Linked DNA regions of Arabidopsis thaliana. The protein of the gene in region 1 purifies or fractionates together with the protein of each later gene. This does not show direct contact. Each region holds a gene or a part of one and is shown in the gene's direction. Other genes may lie near its edges.

The links. Proteins that work in one complex are often made in the same cells at the same time.
Region 2: the proteins of AT5G08300 (region 1) and AT2G20420 fractionate together in Arabidopsis thaliana (co-fractionation; one large-scale study listed by BioGRID). This does not show direct contact.

What each region holds. Positions count from the first base shown.
Region 1 is NC_003076.8:2,665,755-2,670,432, forward strand, and holds AT5G08300 (Succinyl-CoA ligase, alpha subunit), read left to right. Parts: upstream 1-1,606; 5' UTR 1,607-1,824; coding exon 1,825-2,076; intron 2,077-2,293; coding exon 2,294-2,503; intron 2,504-2,635; coding exon 2,636-2,806; intron 2,807-3,079; coding exon 3,080-3,203; intron 3,204-3,440; coding exon 3,441-3,502; intron 3,503-3,603; coding exon 3,604-3,685; intron 3,686-3,775; coding exon 3,776-3,918; 3' UTR 3,919-4,169; downstream 4,170-4,678. Other genes in the region: YLS8 (mRNA splicing factor, thioredoxin-like U5 snRNP), read left to right, coding at 289-408, 874-1,182; AT5G08305 (Pentatricopeptide repeat (PPR) superfamily protein), read right to left, coding at 4,380-4,678. UniProt on the Arabidopsis thaliana protein: Succinyl-CoA synthetase functions in the citric acid cycle (TCA), coupling the hydrolysis of succinyl-CoA to the synthesis of ATP and thus represents the only step of substrate-level phosphorylation in the TCA.
Region 2 is NC_003071.7:8,803,462-8,808,682, forward strand, and holds AT2G20420 (ATP citrate lyase (ACL) family protein), read left to right. Parts: upstream 1-1,880; 5' UTR 1,881-2,112; coding exon 2,113-2,211; intron 2,212-2,394; coding exon 2,395-2,505; intron 2,506-2,587; coding exon 2,588-2,699; intron 2,700-2,796; coding exon 2,797-2,861; intron 2,862-2,956; coding exon 2,957-3,034; intron 3,035-3,143; coding exon 3,144-3,218; intron 3,219-3,324; coding exon 3,325-3,477; intron 3,478-3,560; coding exon 3,561-3,695; intron 3,696-3,784; coding exon 3,785-3,949; intron 3,950-4,035; coding exon 4,036-4,158; intron 4,159-4,247; coding exon 4,248-4,397; 3' UTR 4,398-4,710; downstream 4,711-5,221. Other genes in the region: AT2G20410 (RNA-binding ASCH domain protein), read left to right, coding at 59-598, 692-733; RIC6 (ROP-interactive CRIB motif-containing protein 6), read right to left, coding at 5,206-5,221. UniProt on the Arabidopsis thaliana protein: Succinyl-CoA synthetase functions in the citric acid cycle (TCA), coupling the hydrolysis of succinyl-CoA to the synthesis of ATP and thus represents the only step of substrate-level phosphorylation in the TCA.

The sequences.
Region 1 (4,678 bases):
AATTAGATTTTAGAGCTTTATTCCTCTACGAATGACTCATACCAGATTATGGTGTTCTACTACCTTAATCACCGTCTGTTTCGCAATCTCGTCGATTTATCTTTTATTGGGCCGGAAAGTAAGTATTATCAAGGGCTTAGCCCAAACGCTTTATGCGGTTCACGCGTGGAATCGACGCGCCGTCACCGTCAACAAAATTGGGAAGAGAATATAAAATTAGGGCAAGAGAGAAAAAAGGTTGAATCGAAACAGATCGGAAAATCGTCGAGAGAGAGAGAGAGAGAGAGAATGTCGTATCTTCTTCCACATCTGCACTCCGGTTGGGCTGTTGATCAGTCGATTCTGGCCGAGGAAGAGCGTCTCGTCGTCATTCGTTTCGGCCATGACTGGGATGAGACCTGTATGCAGGTCTGTCAAACGTTTCTTCCTCTCTTATCTTTATATTTCGATCTTGAGCTTGATTATATGTTTTTGATTCGATTTGTAGTTCATAGCTCTCGATTTGGATCCTTTCGTACTGGAAAATTGCGATACTTTGTGGTGATTGTTTGAAAATTGTGTTCCTTAGCTCAGAACTGATGAAATTAGGGTTTCACTCAAAAAAATCCTAGTTGTTGGAGTTGGTTACTATGTAGAAGGTTTTGAATGTGTCCGTTTTAGTGTCCATTTCTGTGATTTATGCTTCGTTTTGTTCTTGCGAATTTGGTGATCTTGGAATATTCCGGATATGTTGTGTTGATTGTTTGAAACTTTAGCCATTCGTGTGATCTTTATTATCTTGGAACTGATTAAAATTTTAGGGCTTCACTTACAATTGATTCTAGTATTCAGTTTCTGGTTTCTGTTTTGATTCGAAGTTTTTGATTTTTGTAGATGGATGAGGTGCTTGCGTCTGTTGCTGAGACGATTAAGAACTTTGCAGTCATTTATCTGGTGGACATCACTGAGGTTCCAGACTTCAACACCATGTACGAGCTGTACGATCCTTCTACGGTCATGTTCTTCTTCAGGAACAAGCACATCATGATCGATCTTGGAACTGGTAACAACAACAAGATCAACTGGGCTCTCAAGGACAAGCAGGAGTTCATTGATATCATTGAGACTGTCTACCGTGGTGCAAGGAAGGGTCGTGGGTTGGTGATTGCTCCAAAAGATTACTCCACCAAATACCGTTACTAATCGAGCTTCCCAACACTATCTAGTTTGTTAAAACCATTGAGTCTAGTGATTCTGGTCAGCTGAAATATCCCGTGAACTGGTTTCATTTCATATATGCTTTGATGATGATTGTGATTCTGGTTTTTGCTTACTGTTTCGGTTGTTCTCCATTTATGTATGTAACTACTTGCTTCGAACATGATTCAGTGAAATGAAATTTGGAAGCCGTTGGGTTTATGTATATGCATCTTTGATCTTCCTGGGTTATGTATATGTGACACCATTTGTCTACCAAGTACCAACGATGGATACGAAAATGAAACTTTTTACTATTGAAAGATTTTACAGAATACGTTTATTCATAATTTTTCTGAAGAGCTCAATGTTTGAGAAAGATTCCAGAAAGATTTTAAATAATTTTTAGTTGACAGAATGATTGAAATAAATTCTAAAAAGTCCATCATCTAGAAATAAATGGGTTTGGGCTAAAATTGAGAAAAGTGTAGCCTTTAAAGGAAGCCTCTTTTGTCGGCTTTTGATCTCAGCTGATTCTTCAAAACCGAGCTCCGCTGAATTTTCTTTGCTCCATTTCCGTCTTCACACAGTTTAGGGTTCACAACTTGATTCGGATCGAAAGCACCGAGAAGAAGAAGCCAATCAATCATGTCTAGACAAGTGGCAAGGCTTATCGGATCTCTGTCATCAAAAGCTCGCCGTTGTTCTACCGGCGGCTCAGAGGTTTTTCCGTCATGCCAGTCTCTCACTTCGTTGACCCAATCTCGCTCCTTCGCGTCGGATCCTCATCCTCCTGCGGCGGTTTTCGTTGACAAAAACACACGAGTCCTCTGTCAAGGCATCACCGGAAAGAACGGCACTTTCCACACTGAACAAGCCATTGAGTACGGCACCAAAATGGTAAAATCCTGATTCTTTTTATCTTCTTCGAATTGGGTATTTCTCCATTGTTCCGATTACATTTGGTTTAGGGGTTTTCTAGTGATTTTGACAATGAGTACACATATATATGCTTTTTCATCACCTAAATTCCATTAGATCCTGGAGATGAGAGATTGCTTTAAAGCAAGTGGCTTTACTAATTTACGTTGTGTGCGTTTTTATTGTGTAATAATAGGTGGCAGGAGTGACACCGAAGAAGGGTGGAACAGAACACTTGGGTCTCCCAGTTTTCAACTCTGTTGCTGAAGCTAAGGCTGACACCAAAGCCAATGCCTCTGTGATTTATGTTCCTGCTCCTTTTGCTGCTGCTGCTATTATGGAGGGTATTGAGGCTGAGTTAGATCTTATTGTGTGTATCACCGAAGGAATCCCTCAACATGACATGGTACTTATTATTATCACCATGCCTTTGATTTTGTTTGTTATATCTCCTTCAGTGCTTATTACATAGGATTGAATACTGATATAATTATCTCTTGTGCTTCTCTCTTTGACTTGAGTGATGTTTCTGATTTAGGTACGTGTAAAGCATGCTCTTAACAGTCAATCGAAAACTAGGCTGATTGGTCCAAACTGCCCTGGGATTATCAAGCCTGGTGAATGCAAAATTGGAATTATGCCGGGATACATCCACAAGCCTGGGAAGATTGGAATTGTCTCACGATCTGGAACCTTGACATATGAAGCTGTAAGTTTTTTTTCTTATGCTTGATGCTTGTTCTCTGTATCCATCTCTCTCAAGTTTATTTCACCATAGTCTTTAGCCTGGGAAAAATCTCCGAAATTAGTTTTGTTTTCTAGTATAAATCCCTCCAAAGGTTAGATTGAACATGGTTCTTTTGTTACACTATGGAGCTTTTGAAAATTTATATAAACAGGTTTTTGTTGGTTCTAGATTTTGAATTAGGCCTTATATTTCTTACGATTTCTAAACATTGTTTCGGTTTTGACTTTCCTGCAGGTTTTCCAAACAACTGCAGTGGGTCTAGGCCAATCTACTTGTGTAGGAATCGGTGGGGATCCTTTTAACGGGACAAACTTTGTCGACTGCTTGGAGAAATTCTTTGTTGATCCTCAAACAGAAGGTAAGGTTTTCAAACTGGAGTTATCTAGCCATATCTTAATTCTGTTTCACCGTTTTCCAATTTTATTTTTCCTCTAGATAGATTAACTTTAAAGATCATTTAGTAGAAGAATGACCACATACTTACCTAATCTCTTTAGGTTATGAAATTCTTGTTTTAGAAGGCTTCGATTCCTCTCTTTTCTTAGTTTAGTTGGTAGCTAAAATTTAAAAACTAAGAAACAACTGGCTGATTCAGGTATCGTTCTCATTGGAGAAATCGGAGGCACTGCAGAAGAAGATGCTGCAGCATTGATAAAGGTAATAATACCACTGAGAATCTCTTTCATCTTGGTCCATCTCTCTCTATTCTCATTCTTAAAAGTAAAATTCAAATTTTGGGTTTTGGTGAATATAAACAGGCAAGTGGTACTGAGAAGCCTGTTGTTGCTTTTATTGCTGGACTTACTGCACCACCGGGTCGTCGAATGGGTCATGCCGGAGGTATTTTCATAAGCTATCTGAAGCCTAAACCGGATTTAATATTTTTGGTCTGTTGCTCTCACTCACTCCTCTGGTTTTTGTTTGTTGCAGCCATTGTTTCCGGTGGTAAAGGTACGGCTCAGGACAAAATTAAGAGTTTGAATGATGCTGGAGTGAAGGTTGTTGAATCTCCGGCTAAGATTGGATCAGCGATGTATGAGCTCTTTCAAGAAAGAGGTCTTTTGAAGCAGTGAAGTGAATTTCACTAGCTTTCGCTTCTTTTTTTCCATCTTGAAACCTTCAAGAAAAAAGAAAAGAAAAAAACCCTAATTCCACGCCATTGATGGCTGCACACTTTTTTGGGGTTTGTTTTGCTATATTGATATGATTTTTCCAATTGAACAGTGATAATTAAAAGAGATTCAAATCTTATGGCATTGGATTATTTTTAATGTTATCTTCCAGTACAAGAAATAAGAGTGAAGCAATGTTTCTTTACACAACATTATATCTTTTTCTAGCACCCAAATAATGAGTAGTAAATTATCTGAACACAGCTGAAACTTGTAATGTTTTTGGAACTAAAAGTTGGGTTATATTGCCAACTGCACAAACCATCAGAATTGTTCTATAACTCTTTGAAGTTTGATCACGTAACATAATTTAGCTAAACCTTTTATCTAGGAAACTATATATGCAAACATTGTGGTGGTTGTCAAGAACAAAAACAATGATTGTCTTGATCATCATAGTCAACATCGAGATTCATCCAAGCTCCAGTCAGCTGTAACACTGCATAGATCTTGTCGGAGTGAAAATGTGTTTTGTCATGAGCGATGAATCTATGTCGTGTTCCATCCAAATCAAGTATACTGTGCCCTGCAATTTTCTTCACTCCTTTCTTCTCCATTGCTTCTCTCATAGACCGAGCTGCCCTAAACTGCTTGTTGATCGCATAAACGTTTGCTAGCCCGACATATCGTCCATCATTATGTGGTTGCAACTCTATAAGCT
Region 2 (5,221 bases), on another chromosome or scaffold:
GGTTCTTGTTGTAGTATAAATTAGTACCAGTTACTTACTGTATTTCTAAATGAAACAGATTTATGTAGCAGCAGCTAGAGGTCTTATGCCTTCTCAAAACTCTTTTAAGGTGAAATTCCCTCTTCCTGACCCAAAAGACCCGTTTTCCTTAAAACCTGGTTCTATTCCTTGTACAATGCAAGAGAAGAAAGAACTTGATTCAAAGCAAGTTACCAGCCTCACAGCTGCAATCAAGCAAGTTACCAGCCTCACAGCTGCAATCGCCGGTGCAAAAGCAGCGGCGACACAATTTTCTAAGAAGGGACAAAGTCTCCAAACAAATAATATATTTGATTACACAACAAGAAGCAAGAGCAAAGTTATTGAAGATGAAGCAGCAGAATCCCTAGATAACCCGGTTCTTGGTTCTGGTGGAACGTCTGACCGTACTTATAGAACAAGAAGCAAGAACAGAGGCACACAGATGGGTGAAGAAGTATGTAGTGAAAGCAGCAACAGCAGCAGCAAAGTTGAATCTAGTCAAAGAAGTGCAGTCACAAAGAGTGAGGACAGGAATACAAGAATTGGTGAAAGAAGGTTTGATCCTGGATCTGCCCGGGTACGTTTATTATCTTACATTAAGCGATAATTACAACAATAATTGTTGACTTTGTTGTTGTCTGATTTTATTTCACATGTGGAATTATTTCAGATCATGGCCGCTGCAATTAGGAACTTGAAGCCACCTTCTTGATCTAATGCGTCAAGGTTGTACCATATTTTGCATTCTTTCTAAAACATGTTCATTTCAAAGTTTGAGAAGTTCGTTTTAGAGTTAGTTTATAGGTTTATTGTATACACATTCAATTTAACTTATATGAGAGAATAATCATGTGGACTAATAAATACACAGAGCAATGAGTTTTGAGTAGACTGTTTAGTCGAATTTTACTAAATTACTATATTTTGGTCAGATTTAGAAGAATGTTTATATTTTTGGGGGGTTTGTCCCACATCGGTAGTTTCAAAATATCAGTTGTGTATATATTTAGTCGAAAACGAAAACAAGTAACAATAGTCATTGGACAAAGTGAATGGGTCACATGGGCTTGTCTAAGTTCCGACCCAGGAAAGTCCCCGGGCCACTTTTCGCAGAGATGCGGCCTCGGTAACGAGAGAATCATGCGGTGGAGAGATTCTATAAGCTGAGACGCGTGTGTGGAGCTTCTGTTGTCTCTCCGTCGATGACATCATGGCCGTTCGATTCACGACAGTTATTCACTTGGTCCTCATCGGACTAACTGAACGGGGCTTATGTTCCAATGACAACAATTTTTTTCTTTTTGAGTAATCCCGGTTTACTCAACTTACTCAACCGTACCGGTGGAAGATTCCTTACAGTAATACTAAAGCTTTTGGCTTAGCTCATTTTGGTGATGATAACAGTAATATCATAAGTACATAATAAATAATTGAAACTTTTGTAAGTATCCTCATTTTTTCAGAAAGTAAATAATATCAAATGTATTGAGAAAACAATAAATGATCATTTTTTTATTTTAATTAGACTCAAAATTAAATAACTGGAAATTAAAAAACCAAATAAACTGAAAATTATTATCTAAAATACAGTAACTAAAAATTTGTCTTGTCGATAAGTCGGATAAAATTTATTCATATAAATATTTAGTCATATACAAGTAAAATAATACTACAAATAATACACAATCAGTCGATGTTATATACAATAAAATTATAGATTTATAAAGGAAAAAATTATCCGGCGATATATCTGATGTCAATCTCTAGTGGGTTAGCATTTTTATTGAAAAATTGTATTGCTTAGTTTTTTTATTGTTATATTGTTAGTGAATTAAAATGGTACTTTGGTATTTTCATATATAGACTTTTTGAAAATAAAATCTTAGATTTTTTCTAACAAGAGTTACCAAAAATATTTTGGAATTAAATGAGCCGGCGACATAGAAGAATAGAGAGGGTTAAATTGAAAATTCATAAAGTAGGAAAAAATTAGGGTTAGACTCGATCATTCATAGCTGCGACTATTCTCTGCTCTTTCTACATTTTCTCATTTTCTCTTGGGCTACTTTTCGACTACTAACAAATCCAACGATGAGGGGATTGGTGAACAAGCTCGTGTCCAGATCTCTCTCCATCTCCGGGAAATGGCAGAACCAACAGCTTCGTCGTCTCAACATCCACGAGTATCAGGTTCTTCTTCTCTTCATTTCCATTTGATAGTTGCCTAGATTCGCTTTTGTCAAGTCAGAATTCGAGTACGATCTGTGTCTTTGTCTGTTGTTTCTGTGTTGATCCACTGATTGATTTGTGGTTGATAGAATTCTCTGGGTTTAGGATAATGTAAAGTTTGTATTGTGATTCTGATACAACCAGGGAGCTGAATTGATGGGGAAATATGGAGTTAATGTGCCGAAAGGAGTAGCTGCTTCTTCGTTGGAAGAAGTTAAAAAGGCTATTCAAGATGTTTTCCCTAATGAAAGCGAGGTAAATTCAGTGAGGGATTCGATTCTAATCTCTATTATTAGTTGTTGTCTAATTGAAAGAGTGTCATTTTCGTGTGATACAGTTGGTTGTTAAGAGCCAGATTTTGGCTGGTGGAAGAGGTCTTGGAACATTCAAGAGTGGTCTTAAGGGTGGTGTTCACATTGTTAAACGTGATGAGGCTGAAGAGATTGCTGGTATTGTACAGGATTTCTTGTTTGTGGCTTTCTGGAGTCTGTTTTTTGTTGTTGTTGTACAAGTTATTGATCTATTTCAAATCTTTATTACTTGTAGGAAAGATGCTAGGACAAGTACTTGTCACCAAGCAAACTGGTCCTCAAGGCAAAGTAGTTAGCAAGGTTTGTTATCTGTTATTCATGATTGGTGTTTTTTCTTCTATTATTGTCACTGCTCTTGCACCTTTGTTTATTCATTGTGTCTTCATTTTGAGCAGGTTTACTTGTGTGAGAAATTGTCACTCGTCAATGAGATGTACTTTTCCATTATTCTGGACCGTAAATCTGCTGGACCGGTATGCTACTACGCAAATGATGAGCTGCTGCTATTCATTTCCCTACTTCTAGGCATGCTGTTTTCATACCCTGCTGTAATATCTAAAACGCTTTCCTTTCCTATATCAGTTGATCATTGCCTGTAAAAAGGGTGGTACCAGTATTGAAGATCTTGCTGAGAAGTTCCCTGACATGATCATCAAGGTTGTTACTGTTTGATTCGTATTTGGTGGTCTGATCTCCAGTAAATATCATTCTGAGATTCTTTCTCATGCGGGTTTTTGACACCTCAAGTCATGGTTTTGCGTAGGTACCAATTGATGTATTTGCAGGAATCACTGATGAAGATGCTGCTAAGGTTGTGGATGGTCTGGCTCCCAAAGCTGCTGACAGAAAAGATTCGATTGAACAAGTGAAGAAGCTATACGAACTCTTCCGCAAGACTGACTGCACAATGTTGGAAGTGAGTTCTCTCTCACTGTCTTTTTTCTACACACTTCTTCAGTTATAAATATCTTTTGTTGAACCTCCAAATTTCTCTTGTAGATCAATCCCCTTGCGGAGACATCAACTAATCAATTGGTAGCTGCTGATGCCAAATTGAACTTCGATGATAATGCTGCGTTCCGACAAAAAGAGGTTTTCGCCATGCGTGATCCAACACAGGAGGATCCACGAGAGGTCTCTGTCTATCTCTTGTATCATCAAGAAAGCCATTGTTATGTTAATTCGATAGGATGTTAAAAGGAATAGTGTGTTGTGTCTCATAGGTGGCTGCTGCTAAAGTTGACCTGAACTACATCGGTTTAGATGGAGAGATTGGTTGCATGGTGAATGGTGCTGGATTGGCCATGGCAACCATGGACATCATTAAATTACACGGTGGAACACCCGCCAATTTCCTTGACGTTGGTGGAAATGCTTCTGAGCACCAGGTAAAAGGAACCTTCTTTCTTTCTTCACTTTTGGGAATCATTGGAATGAAAACCAATTTTAATAGAGGTTTGTGTCAAAAAATAAGGTGGTGGAAGCGTTTAAGATACTGACATCGGACGATAAAGTGAAAGCAATCTTGGTGAACATATTTGGTGGGATAATGAAATGTGATGTGATTGCTAGTGGAATCGTGAACGCTGCAAAAGAGGTGAGTGAGAAACAACCTTGTTACCATAATATTTCATATATTCATGATTGAAAATAAATCCGAGTGTTTGTGTGGAATGGCGAGGACAGGTCGCATTGAAAGTGCCAGTGGTGGTTCGTCTAGAAGGAACGAATGTTGAGCAGGGAAAGAGAATCCTCAAGGAAAGTGGAATGAAACTCATAACAGCTGATGATTTGGATGATGCAGCTGAGAAAGCGGTTAAAGCTTTAGCTCACTAATCTCTCTATATATACCAAAAGCCGGTTTGTTAATTGTTTTGTGGTTGACGCCCAATTTACACTTTCTTGCGGATATCATTTCCTCAAACAGATCAATAATGAACTGGTCTCCTTTTTTTGTGTGATCCATCCAAAGAGATTCAAATCAGAATTCTCAATATCTTTTTGTATTTAACCAACTCATATGGTTGATACTAGGGTTTCAAGTTTATCTCATACGTACTGTTCCTATCATGAATAAAAATCGTTTTTGTGGGAAGCCACACTATAGCTGTCACTGAAACAACAAAATTAATCCCTCTCTCTACAAAAGGCTTTCACAAAACAGAGCTGTCCTCTGTTTCCAATTTAACGGTCAAAACGATAAACTTATTTTTTGATAGAATGTTAATTATATTACCAAAAGGAAAGAAGATTATTTACAAAAACTTTTGACCAGGATTGCAGCTCCATTGTTGTAGTGATGCAGCTCTATTGCTGAGGGCTATGATGAAGAGGAAAATCACACTAACACTACTCAGCTCTTGTCCAAGAAGTTTTTATTCATATATAGGGTTTCTAGTAAAGTGAAAGATGCTGTTGATTTGTTCTGTAAGAATGCTCTTTTATATTTATGATCGACGTCAATGATGATCTATGTTCAAGTGATTTGGATGATAGCACCGAAAAATATTTGTCTAAATTCTCCTTGCATAGTTAATAATAGTACAAGAATGAACAAGAAAATCTAACAATTGGTGTGTTGTGTTCAATGAAAATTAGCCATTTGGAGCTAGCAGCAAAGTCTCTATATATGTCGTCTCTCCTTTCAAAAATCATCTCTA